Linked DNA regions of Lepisosteus oculatus. The protein of the gene in region 2 binds, or shares a complex with, the protein of the main gene of each other region. Links are inferred from orthologs where the notes say so. Each region holds a gene or a part of one and is shown on either strand. Other genes may lie near its edges.

The links.
Region 1: phldb2b (region 2) and erc1b share a complex: the UniProt entries of both Homo sapiens proteins name them as parts of the cortical microtubule stabilization complex. The link is inferred for Lepisosteus oculatus from reciprocal best matches to the Homo sapiens genes PHLDB2 and ERC1.

Annotation. Positions count from the first base shown.
Region 1 is NC_090702.1:7,103,023-7,110,408, reverse strand, and holds the start of erc1b (ELKS/Rab6-interacting/CAST family member 1), read right to left. Parts: upstream 3,043-7,386; 5' UTR 3,023-3,042; intron 1,551-3,022; coding exon of another isoform or gene 1,439-1,550; intron 744-1,438; coding exon of another isoform or gene 631-743; intron 1-630. Other genes in the region: cdpf1 (cysteine-rich DPF motif domain-containing protein 1), read left to right, coding at 631-743, 1,439-1,550, 3,043-3,174; polycystin family receptor for egg jelly, read left to right, coding at 6,735-7,386. UniProt on the Homo sapiens protein: Regulatory subunit of the IKK complex. Probably recruits IkappaBalpha/NFKBIA to the complex. May be involved in the organization of the cytomatrix at the nerve terminals active zone (CAZ) which regulates neurotransmitter release.
Region 2 is NC_090700.1:5,141,415-5,149,227, forward strand, and holds the start of phldb2b (pleckstrin homology-like domain family B member 2), read left to right. Parts: upstream 1-4,725; 5' UTR 4,726-5,238; exon of another isoform or gene 5,239-5,586; 5' UTR 5,587-5,931; coding exon 5,932-5,964; intron 5,965-6,359; exon of another isoform or gene 6,360-6,562; coding exon of another isoform or gene 6,563-6,565; intron 6,566-7,813. UniProt on the Homo sapiens protein: Seems to be involved in the assembly of the postsynaptic apparatus. May play a role in acetyl-choline receptor (AChR) aggregation in the postsynaptic membrane.

The DNA.
Region 1 (7,386 bases), on a different chromosome or scaffold from region 2:
TGCAGATGATAGGAATCAAAGACGTGCAGTAATATTAGAGAGGACGTTTGACAAAGAATATGCACGTCTCAGTCTGATGCACTTCTGGTGTACTCGGGTGCCATCTGTTGTGGAGAGCACAGAGATTGGTTACAGATCATATACGTTTATCACTTGTTTTATCAGTGTGTCTTTTGTGTACTTTAGCCTGTCTGTGACAGACCCAGAGATCAGAATCTTTCTTGTTTCTTGCCTGTGAACTGTTTTCAAACCTATAAATACAGGAGCCTTTTGTCCTAGATGACCAAATCGGAACACAATATCCTAAATGAGGATTTATTAGTGCATTCTAAATTTGAGCATAACGTCCCTGGCTTTAAATGTCACACTTTTGCTATATACCTGTACATGCTGTTTGATTTTGATTCCCCACTTTGATGTGATGAAGACATATAAGAATCTGCAAGAACACCTAGATTCCTTTCATGCAGACTATGCACTGTGTGAAAATTAACATTATTATTCACAAATGTTAAAGATAAATTTAAGATCTAACATCAGAGAGGAAAGGCAAATGTGTACTTAAGTGCTGTGCAAGTTCTTTTTGGGGAGGCTGTGGTAAGGAGTATTTTTTTTTGTATCTCCTTCCAGATGGAAGAGGACAAAGATGGACAGTCACAGAGACGGTTTACCTGTAAATTCTGTGACTTCTCAGCTTCTTATACATATTATGGGCAGAAGCCACCCAACACCAGGGCCATTGTGTAAGTATAAGAAACAGTAGGTAACCTGAAGGCCTGTTGACATACAGTACAGTATAGCTGTAAGGTACATGTACTTGAATTAAATGCTTTGGTATTTTCCACAGTCTCCTTAAAAACGGATACAGTATTACCTATCTTCCTTCAGGGGTCCATTACTCTATCTGTATGAGATATGCTGCAACAGTTGTTTCTCCCCTACTTGAAGTGCTTCTTTCACCTTTCAAGGAGCAGTGATAAAGACTTTCCCCAAGTTCTAGTGAGCTAGAATTCAGCCCTCAAGAAACTTGACTAAAACAAATGTTTTGTAGAGATAATGCTGGTGGCTAGTTTTCTGCATCAATTTTGTCACAAGTTCTGTCAAACTGAGAATCAGATGGTAAATAAATGTACTGGATATGACAGACTTCACTCAAAAAACCAGCATGCATTTCATTGATTGTAAAGTGCTGTATATTGGAATATTCTTACAATGCTTTTTTTCCTGTGACAATAAAATTGTAACAAAATGCGGGTACAATGGATTTGAACATATAAGGACAGTTTTAGTGTGCTACATATCAAAAGTGCAGAGTAATTGTAGCTCCTTCCCGAAAGTGCAGGTTTTTTAGCTACACAGTTTAGCTATGAACTTCACTTGGTTTGTTGTGGGTGTTTTTTTGCTTTGCCAATGCCACTTTGTGTCTTTTTTTCCACAGTCTTCTGGAGGAGTGCTTTGTAACGAAGGATCCCTTTAGTCCCAACAAGGAGAAATTCTTGGTTTTAGGATCACATTGCAGTCTGTGCGGCAAAACCGTTTGTGTTGGGACGGTACGTTTCAATAGCCTTTTAAGTGTAAATAATACTGAGGGAAGCTAATATTCATTTCCTATGCTGTACTTTGAAGAGGTGCCGTTGGGATATTTTCAGCCAATGTTTCTTGTTTTATGTATTATGAGAATGACCTTTCGTTAAATCCTTTTCACCAGACTTTAAACAGGATTTTCGTTTACTGATTTTTCTAGAATTGCTCTAAGAGGAACAGCATGTGAGAGGAAACTAAATATTGTGTCTTTGAATTGACCCTTATGAGTGAACAATCAAATCACAGAAACGTTTTCCTGAATTTATTCCTGAATATGGTTACCATTCAGATTTTAACCGCAGCTTTGTAGGTTAACTTTTCAATTAAATCTAATTTCTAATGGGAAAAGAGGAACTGGCTGCTGTATACAGAGTAGCTACTGTAGATACAGGTGGACTACGCTTGGCTATATAGTAGAAACTGCTGAAATCACCATGCAGGACTGAAAGTCATGCTCAGACTGTCTTGAGCATTTGGATGACTTGAACAGTGTTCATATCTGGCCACCACATTGAAAAATGAATGTCACCTGAGAAACGTTTTAATGTGTGGAGAGTTTAAAAGAACATAATTGGAAATCTAACTTGTTTTTAACAAAGACGTTTTAGGGGAGATCTAATTGAGTGCTTTATTTCAGATTTCTGAGAGGGGCTGAACCCAGATCTTTCTTTAGGCTCAACAGAGTTTTGCTTGTGATATGTTAGGAGAGGAATGTGTGCAATTACTGGGATTGTAGCTCAGAGCTGTGTCATGGAAATCACATAGTTGATTATTCCAAATTGGAACGGTACACCAAAAATAATTGGTAGTTCTATCTTTTAAAAAAATACTGCACACAAAAACTAAATATATTTTTTTTAATTACGTAGCTGTTATGTTCAATATGTAGCCGTATGTCTTCATCCATTTACTCATTTATCCTATAACTTACAAAATGTTGCTGCCTAAAAGATGATATTCAGCCCAATGTGTTAGGGTGCTGGTAGCTTATGGATCATAGGATTTCATACTCCACTTTCTTGAAAGACCCCAGTTTTAGCGACATGACAAGGCACCTTATTCAAGACACCAACCACTTTTTGTGTAAAAACGTGTCTGTGTTTTTCTCTATTGATTGTGTCCCACTTTCATTTTTGAGCATGAAGTAATGTATTAGGTTGACTTTGTCAGTACCTTCAGGATGTGGTGTATCTGCACCTCTATTCTTCTATTTTCAGCACTGAAGAGTTTCAGTACTTTTAAACTTTTTGTGTATATCCGTTTTTGGCATTAGAGGGTAATGCTCCCGGGGACACATTTCTGAGGTTACAGACCACATCGTAGTGATTGGCAGGTTATTCTCTTTTGCAGTGTTGATTTTATATTCATCAAGAATCTAATTCTTATAGAAAATACAGGACAAAAAAAGCCACTGTTAAAAACCACCCATGGAGCTGACCTCTGGTGCTTCTTTCCCAGGAGTGCAGCCTGTTCTACACAAAGCGCTTTTGCTTGTCCTGTGTCAGGGAGCACTTGGAAGAGTTTCCCCAGCAAATCCAGGCGGAGCTTAAAAAGAAGAAACAGGCACAGAAGACTCTAGTCACCCAGTGAACGCTGCTGGCAAAAAACTGGACTGGAAGGGAAGTTAAGGGAACTGACAGTTTATAGACTTCCACATTTGTTTAAACCCAATGTACACCTATGCACAGAAACAGTCGTGTTCTCTACTGTTTATATTTCCGTTAATACATAATGTGAAACAAGTATGCATTGGGTATGGATGGTTACGATGTGCTTGTCACTGGAAAATCCCTATAGTTTCTCTGAACATGGAATCTGAAAATGTGATGCCACTTTATGAATATTGAATTTAATATGAATATGTGCATTTATACTATGCATTAGGCTAAGCTGATTAATAGAAAAAGAAAATAATCGGTTTTATGGCCCAAACTGAAAACGAATGCAAATAAGTGGGCTTTTCTTTCTAGAGAAAATAAACATGTACATAACCTGACATGACTCGTGGTAGACTGCAGCTGAAGAAACCAAAATTATGTGGAGTATTGGATTTTAATTAAAAAGGTTATTTTTTTGAGGGAAGAATTGCTGTGGTTTGTACGTTCTTTCAATTACTGTATTTTCTTTTTTGGTTTCCGGAGCTTATTTTATGACGATGGTCAGTAAGCTACACGTTTCTTTTGTCTTCTGTTGATCCGAGTCCACTGGTCATTTAAGCTGGGTGAATTAATAAGGTTAATAACCGTAATAAGAAGAAATAGCACTATACAGTTTTGAATCGAGCTATGTAGGATTTAAATAATGGTGGGGGTATATTAGTAAAATACAAGTGAAACAGAAAAAAAATAAGATTAAATTGTACAAACCTTTTTGAAGGGCCTGGTGGACGGTATTCAGAAAAGTAAAGGTTCACATGGAAGTTTCTTGTTTTTTATGTTATAAGGTGGGGGTGGAAGCGAGGTTCTGCAGTTTTTGAAAAAGACCGAGCATGAAACCCCATCCTGAGGAGTGGCCAGCAAAAGCTGAAGAAGTGATTGACGAATGGACTAAAACAGGAATACACTTGCAAAGCTTTTCTCTTTTTTTTCCATATGCAATCGTGAAGACCGGGTAAAAACTGAGCTTAATTCAATGTATTCTCTCCCTCTTTCGCAAGCCTAATATATATTACCTACTGTACATAACGTCGTTCTTTTCCCTTTCCAACTTTGCGCTTACCAAAGAAACTTAAAACGAGGAGATGTACCCCAAAAATGGGAACTTTAGACCGAATTTAATTTAATTTAATGTTAATACGTTGTTACTGCGTGTGTTGTGCGGTCTTTTCCTCACTCGGCGAACTGAAGGAGCATCCTAACGTGCGTCATCAGTCTCAAGAGGTCGCGCTGCGCTCTTGTCTGCTCAGGTGTGACCTACTGTACGAGCTCGTGGCCACCTTTTTCCCAATTCAAAATTAACGGCATCCCCTACCTGTAAGCAAATCTCTTTCAAAACCGAACTGTGATAAAGGCAAAAATACAATGACCTCTACCTTGACGTGGTGCTGTATGCTGTTGCTGTTTTACGCCCGTGTCCTCTCACAGCCTGGCTTCAATTCGCCCCCCTTTGAGATTAGGTGTGCGGACGAGGACGGGGAGGTGCACAGCAGAGCCGACACGGACGTTTTCGTCACCTGCCGACGCCGACAGAGCACGCAGATCCGCTTCAGCTCATGCAAGAACATAAAAGCCGACGCACTGCAGCCTCCCACCTGTGACTGGAGGGACCACGCTGCAGGATTAATTCATCGCACTGACCACTGGTCCGGGACTCTCACGTTGGCTCCAGACATCCAGGTAATCACCGTGACGTCCTGCACCGTGTCTTCCTGCCCTCCGACAGACTGCCGATTTAAAAATCTGACCATAAGGGTGATCGACCAACAGGTTGATTTTTTCCTACTGTCTCCAGCTCCACTGTACGATTTTGACAAAGTGCAGATTGGTTGGTGTGCTGAGATGAAAAGCCCATTATGGACCTACATGTTTCAAGCCCCAGGAGGGACTCCCTCACAGAAAATGATACAGAGTGACTGGTATGTTATAATTGACACCACTAGTGTCCCTGTTCACTTGAAAGGCAGATGCTCCAATAACTATAACTACATAGTAGAAGTGACTTACCCCAAGCCGGGCACGTATAGGGCTAAATTAATCAGTGAAGGAAATATCTTTGTCCTTGACATTCAGGTAAAATCAGGGCTAATCCCTATTTATAATGCAAAGAGTGAAGTGTTAAGTCTAAATGAAAGATTTCATGTTTTCTGGAAAGCATCAGACATTCAGAACATTGTCAGTTACCAATTGGAAGCCAGTGAAACCAACAGAACCTGGCTTGTAGACTATAGCAGCTATGTTTTGAGAAAAACCTCTTGTTTTAATAGTAGGAGATCAAACAGCCTCCTGCTCACCGACATTGTGCTGCAGAAGACCGCTTTCTTAGGCAATTTCAGTGGCGCCATCAGATTTTCAAGTGGCACTGCCGAACTCACTCTGAACACAACCTACACCAAACTGACCTTTGATCTTCAAACTAACCGGACCGTCCTGTATTTTTTCAGCAATTCTGATGACTTTTCCTACTACAAACAGGATAGTAGGGTTAATAATGTACTGCACATCATCTTCATCCAACAGCAAATCTTCCTGCACTTGATCAAATTCTGCTTCTCCTGGGACCAGCGTTATACTGTCAGTGTGCAAACGTATGTGAACAAACGGGACAGCCTGTACAAATCTGTGGGTGAATTTGGGAGTGGCTTTGACCTGTACCTGTATAACAGTCCGGCGCCACATCTAGACTTTACACAGCATGCAGTTTGGTTTGTGCCCACCCAGCATCCCCTTCTGCAGTGTGAATGGACATTCAAGCTGCAGGTGCTCTGTGCCTCAAGAACGTCACTCACTTCCACGTATTCTTACTCTGACCAACATCCAAATGTCCTCACCTTTCTTTCAGGTGCCGAGCCATCATGGGCGGCTGTAAATTACGTGGGCTTTGTTGCCAATGTGACTTGTTTTGACAGTGGAGAAAAGCCCCTAATTTTAACGGTGACATTTGGAAACCGTCCTGTAAAAATTGCAAGGTCCCTGGCATGCTTCAGTAGGAAGACCAGTGGGTGCTTGAAGGTACTTTTGAGGAAACCAGACCCTCCTGTTATACCTGTAAAAAAATCTCTCCAGTTTACTGTTTACTCTTCAGTGGCAGTATACTGTTCTTGTGTATTGCAGACTACATTCATCTGGAAAATATACAGAGTCGCTGGTGTCAGTTCAGTTCCAAAATGGGAAAATCCTCTGGCAGCACCATTCATTTCCTCAGCTAGCAAATCCTTCTTGTACATCCCAAAATGCTCTCTAGAGTATGGCATGTACATGATGAATCTTACGGTCAGCGTCTTTATACAAAATTCAAATCTAAATGTAACCAATACTGATTCACTTTTTGTGGATGTAATGAAAAGCCCTCTGAAAGCTGTCATTAAAGGAGGCTCATACAGAACTGTGGGTTTTAATGCAACTTTGGTATTGAATGGTTCACTGTCTGCCGACCCTGATGTAATGAACCCATTTGACGGTCTCCATTTCTCATGGTACTGTTCAAGGAAACCCATGGATCTTGAGGCTATGACACTCTCTCCGAATAACGCATGTCACCCGGACCAGTTTGAAATCAGATGGCCACCATCATCAAAAGCTACAGTTGAAATCATGCCTGAATTGTTGAAAGGAGGTGCTGTATATCATTTTCGTCTATCAGTTCAAAAAGATGGCAGGGAGAGTCATTTTAACCAAGCAATAAATGTTTTACCTGGACCACAGCCTGAAATTCAACTCTACTGCATTGAGAACTGTGATCAATTGCTGAACCCGTCAAATAGATTTGTGCTTTCCTGTGCTTGCATTTCCTGTAGCACTGACAGCCAGCCCAACGTTGAATGGTATTTATTGGCTGGTAAAAATGCAACTGAAATTGCAATTGATTGGGCAGCCAACACTACAACAGGAAGATTTAACAAATACCTTTCAATAAACGCTTTTGTGTTTCAGAAGAGCATAGGCAGCACATTTGAGTTGCAGGTCAAAGTAAGCACAAGGAGTGGACTCTCAAGCATGCAGAGGTATTTCTTCAGTGTTAATGAACCTCCTAAGATGGGAAACTGCCAAGTGATCCCCAGCAATGGTATCGCATTACTAACAGAATTTGTTGTACAGTGTTCAGGGTTTGTGGATGATAATCATCCTCTTATGTATAAAGTTAAAG
Region 2 (7,813 bases):
GTCTGAACTGCTCGGTTGCCAATAACGTGGACACAGACAAAGCTGGAAATTAGGTTGTGTGACACACTCCAGTAATAAGCATTCCTATTAAACATTAATTATGCATGGGTTTAATTGAGAAGGGAGAGTGTTCTGATAATCAGTTCCTGGTACAGCGTTAATGCCAATTCTAGGTCCAATTACTCTGTTAAATTCTGAAATGGGTTATGAATAGGTCTATCCAAGGAAATACTGTAATCATTGGATAGGTTCAATTAGCCTGAGAATAGGCAGTGGACTGTAGGGACCTACCCTTCATCAGACAGATGATCCCACCTCATCGGCGCACTGGCGTTCCCTGTGTCATCAGCCCCAGGCTCCCAGTCCAGTCCCTTGTGTTCCAGTTTGTTTCACCTTCGATCCCAGTCACGTTTCACCAAGAACAGAGCAACATTCCAAAACTGCTGCTGGTTCACATGCATCACCCTGGAATTTGAGGAGACTTGTTTTTCCCCTTGTGACCTGCTGTTTTAACTTCTACCGACTATCGAATTCAAGACAAATCTATTTTCCAACAACAAACATTTAACTTATTTTTTTCTCACCAGCAGATCCTTCATGTCAACACTATGCAATTTGATATGATTTTATAACCTGTTTTGATGTGAAAAAAATGACTTTTTGATTTAAAAGCAGCATGGTTTATATCTAAAACAGAATATTCAACCAGACAGTACTTCTAATTTCGCCAATTACTTTTTTATTTAATTGCAATTACAATTACATTTTCGAGATGGGAAGTTTGAAACTTCCATATGGAAAAAAAATATTTTATCACATTCCGTGCAGGAAGCAATAGATGCTTTGCTTCCTGTCTGCAGATCCGTAAGTAATATTTGTAAAACAGAAGAAAGAGCTAGGTGATATCATCTATGTCTCTGCACTGCCACAGCTGGTCTTGCCTGAGGCTCTGTTGGCATTTTGCACGCGTAGCGTGGGTGATGGGAAACAGATTCCAGGAGACTTTTTGTTTGTGTTTTTCTTTACCATGTAAGCTGAATCAATCCGGGGAATAGCCTTACTGTGTCTACGAGTTTCAGAGGGAAAACTGCATTCCTGAAAGTGTTTCCCAGATGATATCAGCCGCATGCCCTCGCACAGAGCCATGCATGGACTTGAGGCTGTGACTGTCTGATTGCTCTGTCTGGGTATTTGAATGGAGCCTGATTTTCGCACAGTGGAGCCCTGAGGGTAGAGTCCTCCCCACAGGTGTATCTGATACCCCTACAAGCCTCACGATACCTTGTGATCCATTGGCAACAATGACAGAGTGTCGTTGAAAGAGTAATGTGTCCAGGAGTAGTGTAGATATTCATACAGCTTTACAGCTTATTATTATTGTTGTTGTTTTATTCTCTTTTTGTGTGTGCATTAATCTTTCTTATTAGATGTCAGTGATCGACTCATTCCTAACACTGTGATTCTCAACAGCTATACTGTGATATTTTGAATGCCTGTAACAGCACCAAGGCAAAGACTTTATGACAAAAGACATTCACTCCACTGGAATGTTGGAACAATGTGGCAGCAGAGATGTGTTCAAGAACAAGCTTTATCTTCTCTAGGTTATATTTCATTCCCAGGTTCAGTGTTTTGTTTCGAAAGGCTGCTCAACTCAGGTGCCCAGAGAGAGAGTTTGAATTTATAGCGCAGTGCGGCACTTAAAGGGACATTGAAAGCCATGAATTCTGATCTCATGTGTAAACACAGTGCAAGCTGTTGAATAGGCCACTTGTCAAGATAAGCAGTAATTTGCAAAGTCTTTGTGTAATTGAAAAGCAAACAGTAATGGGAAGATGTTGTCCTGTTATGCACTGCTGGGGGGCTTGATTGCTCTGGACAGGCCCGAAAGTCATCAGGAGGCTGGCAGGGGTGGACTTGTGGGAGAAGGGGGTGAGAAAGATCTGTCTGTGCTTTAGGTGTGTTTGCATTTTTATTAAAAACACACAACTTCTTTAGTAAACCCAAACTGGAAAAGCTACAGCTTATTCCTGAGGCATGCACCAAAGTGTGTTACTGCACATTGACATATGCTAGCTATTCATTGAAAAGACAGCAACTCTTCCGTTGAAGTAGGATGCGTTTTTATATGCTGAATATCCTTGAAAAGCTTTTAAACTGTTACTATTAAAGGGTTGCTCAGCTGACTGTAATGTTGGCAACTTTATGTTGGTAATGTTGTGTGGGAAACTCGTGGCTTTGGGTTCGATAAGCCAGTGGTGTCCATTAGGATACATTCTGCTGATTGTAACCAGAATCCCTGGTAAAATTGTTTGGAATGTTATTCGTCACCATAGCAACACTGTGGAGCTCCAAGGTAATGGATATGTAACTCCATTTCAGAAGAATGCCAGTAGCTATCTTTTAGATGACGTCATTCATCTCTGTATGCAAGATTCATAAAAGACAGTGAATTTGTGAACGACAGTGAAGTAATTGGCTTCATCGTCCAGCTGATACTCTCTTTAGTAAATAAATGTCAGGTATTCAATTTGGAAAACCCATCTTTGCATGTCGTAATGCTGTTTTGGAATGAGAGCACACCACCATTTCCTGTCTTATTCAAATTCATTTATAGTGTCAAAATCCTTTTCAGATCCTTTAGACATGCTGTACAATCAATATAGTGTTTCTGTGATGCACTTTAATTAACTCTTTCATGAGCTGTTATACTAGAGACGGTCATGTAATAGTTGAGAAATGTTTGAAATAAACAAGTTTTGTGAAGTGGCCAAATAAATAATTTCCAACTGACGTGTTTTTTTTTTCTTAAAGGGGAAAGGGTAATATATTGCATTCTTAATTTAACCAGTAAAAATATATTTTTTAATATAACAAACAGTGCTGATGTAGTGATGTGACCACGAACGTTTATAGCCTATTGCTTTGTGATTTATATTTATCTGTCTCCTGCAGTTACAGATTCAGTGTTGGAAACTTTTCCCCCCAGAGTTCACTCCGAGAGGGCTGCCTGAAGATGCAGCAATACGTCTTTGTTCACCAGCAGCAGCTGGATCGGACAGGTTGAGCCGTGGTTTTTGGAGAAGCAGGCCGATGATGACACGCTGGGAGAGTCAGCCCTCTCATGTCCTCTCAGCACAGATTCATTACAAAAGCTGTTCTAATCGTAGTGTACTCTCCCGGTACACTTTTTTGTTTTGTAAATAATCCACAGATAATTCTTTAATTCTATACAATAATACCAACAACTACATGCATTTTTCTAGAGCATTTCACCACGAACATATGGGCAGCACACAGCAGCCACTCTGCATCTGCTGGACAGGTGAGAAACGACCGCACTCAGTGAGTTAAGGAGGACATCTAGGGAGGCTAGATTGATCTGTCTCTGGAGCGCCGGTGTGGGTTCTCTTCAGTCCTGCTCTTGTGAGCCACACCCAGTCATTGGCTAAACCAAGCACCTCGATTTCACATCCCAGCTGGAAGAGGACACCTGCTCCTGCACATCGCTCCAGGTCACCAGACTGGGCCCCGGATGGGAGATTCCGGTCGAGAGGAAAGTGCGCCACCTGCTGGTCGGCCAACACCGCTTGCAGAAGTGACCCTCCCTCCCCCCGAGAAGCCTGCCAGCTCCTCACTGGGGAGGCCCAGCTCTGGAGATCAGCCTGAGGGTGGCAGTGCTGCTGTATGGCATCCTGGCATTTCCCACCTGACCAAAGGAAAAAGCTGAAGGAGAGGTTCCCACACTTTGGGATTGAAAGTTTTCACGGTAGAAGTTTGTATCTTAAAGTCAGCCAGCAGCCATGTCACCCTGCAGCTCAGCAGGTGTGAGCCTGGTCAGTATCTGGATGGGAGACCTCCTGGGAGGAGCTAAGGTTGCTGCTGGAAGAGGTGCTCGTGGGGCCAGGGGGGGGCGCTCTCCCTGCAGTCTGTGTGGGTCCTAATGCCCCAGTATAGTGACGGGGACACCATACTGTAAAAGAGGCCTGTCCTTCGGATGAGACGTAAAACCGAGGTCCTGACTCTCTGTGGTCATTAAAAATCCCAGGGCGTTTCTTGAAAAGAGTAGGGGTGTAACCCCGGCGTCCTGGCCAAATTTCCCATTGGCCCTTACCAAATCATGGCCTCCTAATAATCCCCATCTATGTTGTGGCTTCATCACTCTGCTCTCCTCCCCACTGAGAGCTGGTGTGTGGTGAGCGTTCTGGCGCACTATGGCTGCCGCCACACCATCCAGGTGGGGGTGCACACTGGTGGTGGTGGAGGGGATCCCCATTACCTGTAAAGTGCTTTGAGTGGAGCGTCCAGAAAAGCGCTATATAAGTGTGAGGAATTATTAAAGTCATTTTAAAACAAGTGTAAGGTTGATAGTGTAAGTCTAAAAGTAGACAACACACAGACAGAGAGAGAGAGCAATATTTGGCTAAGGAACAAGTAATAGGTTTATTCCCTGCTGAAAAGAGAAGGAAGAAAACAATACTTTGGCTGTGGAGCCTTCTTCAGGTAAATTGGATAATTGGATATTAAATCCGATAATCATTTGGATAATTCCATCTTGATTTGACTTGTAGATAAGACATTTGAGTTTACAGCAGAGCAAAGAGCTCTGGAGAGACCTCCCTCTGTGTGTGTGTGTGTTTGAGTCCTGCTCCGTTAGTGCCCCCGTCCAGCCCGAACTGCCCCCACTGGAGGTGCTCGCTGCCGTCCTGTATAACCCCACCGCAGGCCGGGGGAAGGAGAGCACAGGTCAGCACGATCACACGGGCTCTCAGCCCGGGCCGCAGCCCAGCTCAGAGGCTTCCTGTTTACTCTGGAGATCCTTCCCCCACCGTGAAACCTGAAGCAGCCCCGAGCCGCTTCGGTCTCCTGCACTGGAATCCACGACATGTGCCGTGGCGATTTCCGCGGCGATAAACACGCCGGCTCCCGCGCTCCGCCACGTCCCAACCCGCTCAGCCTTTCCGCTCCGCAGCTGCGGGTCCGAGCCGGACCGGACCGGGCCGGACCCGACCGCGGCCGCCGCTCACCGTGCCTGGTCTGGACTCGACGCCGGCAAGGTATGCCGACGAATCAGATCGATCGATTCGTTACAGTTGGGCTCAGCTGGAGACCGTCTTCCTAAAGATTGAACGTTTGCCGGAACATCCAGCGTTTTCCGCGATCACTGCGATTTTAAGGATCCTGACGAAGACTGGTCTTTAACCCCCCTCCGGAAAACAAACAAAAATCAAAAGAAAAGTATGTTTCAATAGCACACAGCTTCGCATCTTGGCGCGGTCCCTGGCATCTGCATACATACGGTAGATTCACACAGGAAACACCTCCTGGCCCGTGGAGACTCGCCGCGCGATCTCCGACACACCGCTTTCCGAAGCAGCTCCGGGAGGCGTCAGGTTTCCGAATTTCACACGCCTAGCCTTTTGCGAAGCAACGCGCATTAAAAAAAATCGGGCTGTTTTTGCGACAGTTGAGTGGGGATTGGGAAATATACGCGTCTTTGGGGTTCCAATTTTTTTTTGGGGGGGGGGGGGTCTGATTTCAAAGACTCTGGTCAGCTCTACACCTTGTTGTTGTTGTCCGCTGTAGAAAAGTGGCTCCACGCGCTCCTGGCTGGCCGGCCGGCTGAGCCCCCCCCGGTCTGCAGTCGGCACGCACCCCGAGGTCTCCAGCTGCTGCGCATTCCGGAGCTCGAGGGAGAGCGCGAGGGAGCAGCGCGGGCGGCGCAAGCGGACCGGCACCCGGCGCGCAGGGCTGCCCCCGGGGGCGTAGTGCGATGCCTCAGCGGCGCCGGACATCCCGCATCCCGGACTCCTGCCTGACACGGACAACTTTTCTGCGTGCGTGCGCACTTGCGCATCTGGATTTCTGACTGTTCTGGTCTTTTCCTTCTCCTGCTCGCTCCAAAATCCAAGAGCAACCACAACAGCAAGAATGCCTGACACTGACAGCTCCGTTTCCAAAACGGTAAGTCGCTATATGTTACCCGAGCAGGTCCTCAGAAGAGAATTGCTCTATCGAATTACGAACTGACCCCGTGGAAACGAACGGCTTTAAAAAAAAAAAAAGATTGATACCATAATTTTTAAGTTTGCAGTGGTGCATTTTTGTTGTCTTGTTTTTTGTTGATAGGTTAAAAGTTGAAGAAACGGTTGAAAGGTGTCCTTTATTGGGGTTTTTTTTGCGTGTTATCTAAAACTGGTTATTATGTTGGTGGTATGTCGTTAGGTATTGCATGCCGCTGTAGCCCAGACCAGGTCAGTTAGACGAGCCTCAGCGCGATGAAAGTCTGCTTTGTTGTGTCTGGAGCGCCTGTCACATGCGCCAGAGCGTGCATAATTAGAATTCCTCCGGAGCGCGGCTCAGGGGCGGACAGGGTGTCGGGGCGCTACAGAGCGCTGCAGGTGGGGCACAGGGACTTGGGCTCTACACCCGGCTCTGCTCCCTGTCAGATGTCAGGTGTCCGCGAAGCGCCGATCCACAATCGCCCATCTGTGCGATTCCACCCTCTCCCGAGCCGCAACCCACATTCACTTCACCCATAGCCTCAAGCGGGCATTTTCACATGGTAAGTTTCTGGTCTTCTTGTAAGTAATTATCCTGTCAGTCCACACTCGCGAAATAATTGAGCAGAAGCAAAACGTAATGGATAGCTTACTGCACATTCCTTGGAAGATATGCGAGCAAGCGATATCTCTGTTTCGACGATATCTCTGGCGACTGCGACAGTGCTGAATCTTTTAAAGGACCTATATTCAATTGTGAGGCTTTTTGAGGTGTTGTAAAGGACCTCACTGAAGGTGAAGTTCCTTTGATGGTTCAGGACCTGAGCTGAAACCTTGAATTCCTTCTGCCCTTCATTGCTTATCGTCACTGTGTCCAGCTCTGCTTTTACAAACGTCTCTGCCACCTGCTGTCATGCGTACAGCAGTGCGGTCATTGTTTTTTCAGATCGTTATTTCCAACCTATTAGACTGTTGGCTTTACTAGTGTGGTGGGCCGTAGGCAGATTTTGGGATTGCAGTGCTAAATGTCCTAAACCGGCACTGCTCTTGAATAGAGGACAGTTGTGCTCTAGCTGTTCATTAATATTAATAGATCTCACATCGAGCCTGAAGGCTGCTTGTGTGTGATTCAAGACATACAGCTGGACCCCAGCGGTTTCTGAGTGCAGAAAGACAACACAGGTGAGCTCCTACTGCCTGTATAGGGATTACTGAGTTCCCACAGACAGACTGGACCTCCACCAGATCTTTGGGCATTTGGTTTAAATTTGCTGGAGCTGATGAATACCTCTTCATTCTGTTTTGGCTCTCCATTACGCCACTTGTGATAATAACTTAGAGCGTTACAGCCTGCTTCCAGTTAAGGTGCTTTCAAGCAGAGCCCAAAAAGTAAATGTTAAGGGATCTAACATGCAAGGGAAGTCTTCCCCTGACTTACATGCGGTAGGAAAAGGAAACACTTTGAGGTCAAAGATTATCCAGTGTTAATTGAATTTTTTGAACATTTTCCTTTGAAAAATGAAAATGCAACTACTCTACCACTCTTTTCATTTAAAGAGATGTTCTGCCCTGTGTAAAAATTCCCTGTGAAGCAAAACAAAATCAATACACAGATATGGAACAATTTCAGCTGTTACAATTCACAGTAGTTTTACTTTTTGTAATTCCACATTTAATCAAGTTGTAAGAACATTTACAGGAAAGGTCCTCAAGTGTCTTTTCAGCAGAAACACTCCTGCTCCCTGTTCACTCAATGTGAAAAAAAGTACGTAGAATAAACCTTGGAGGCACTGTCTCTTTCTGCAAGCGTC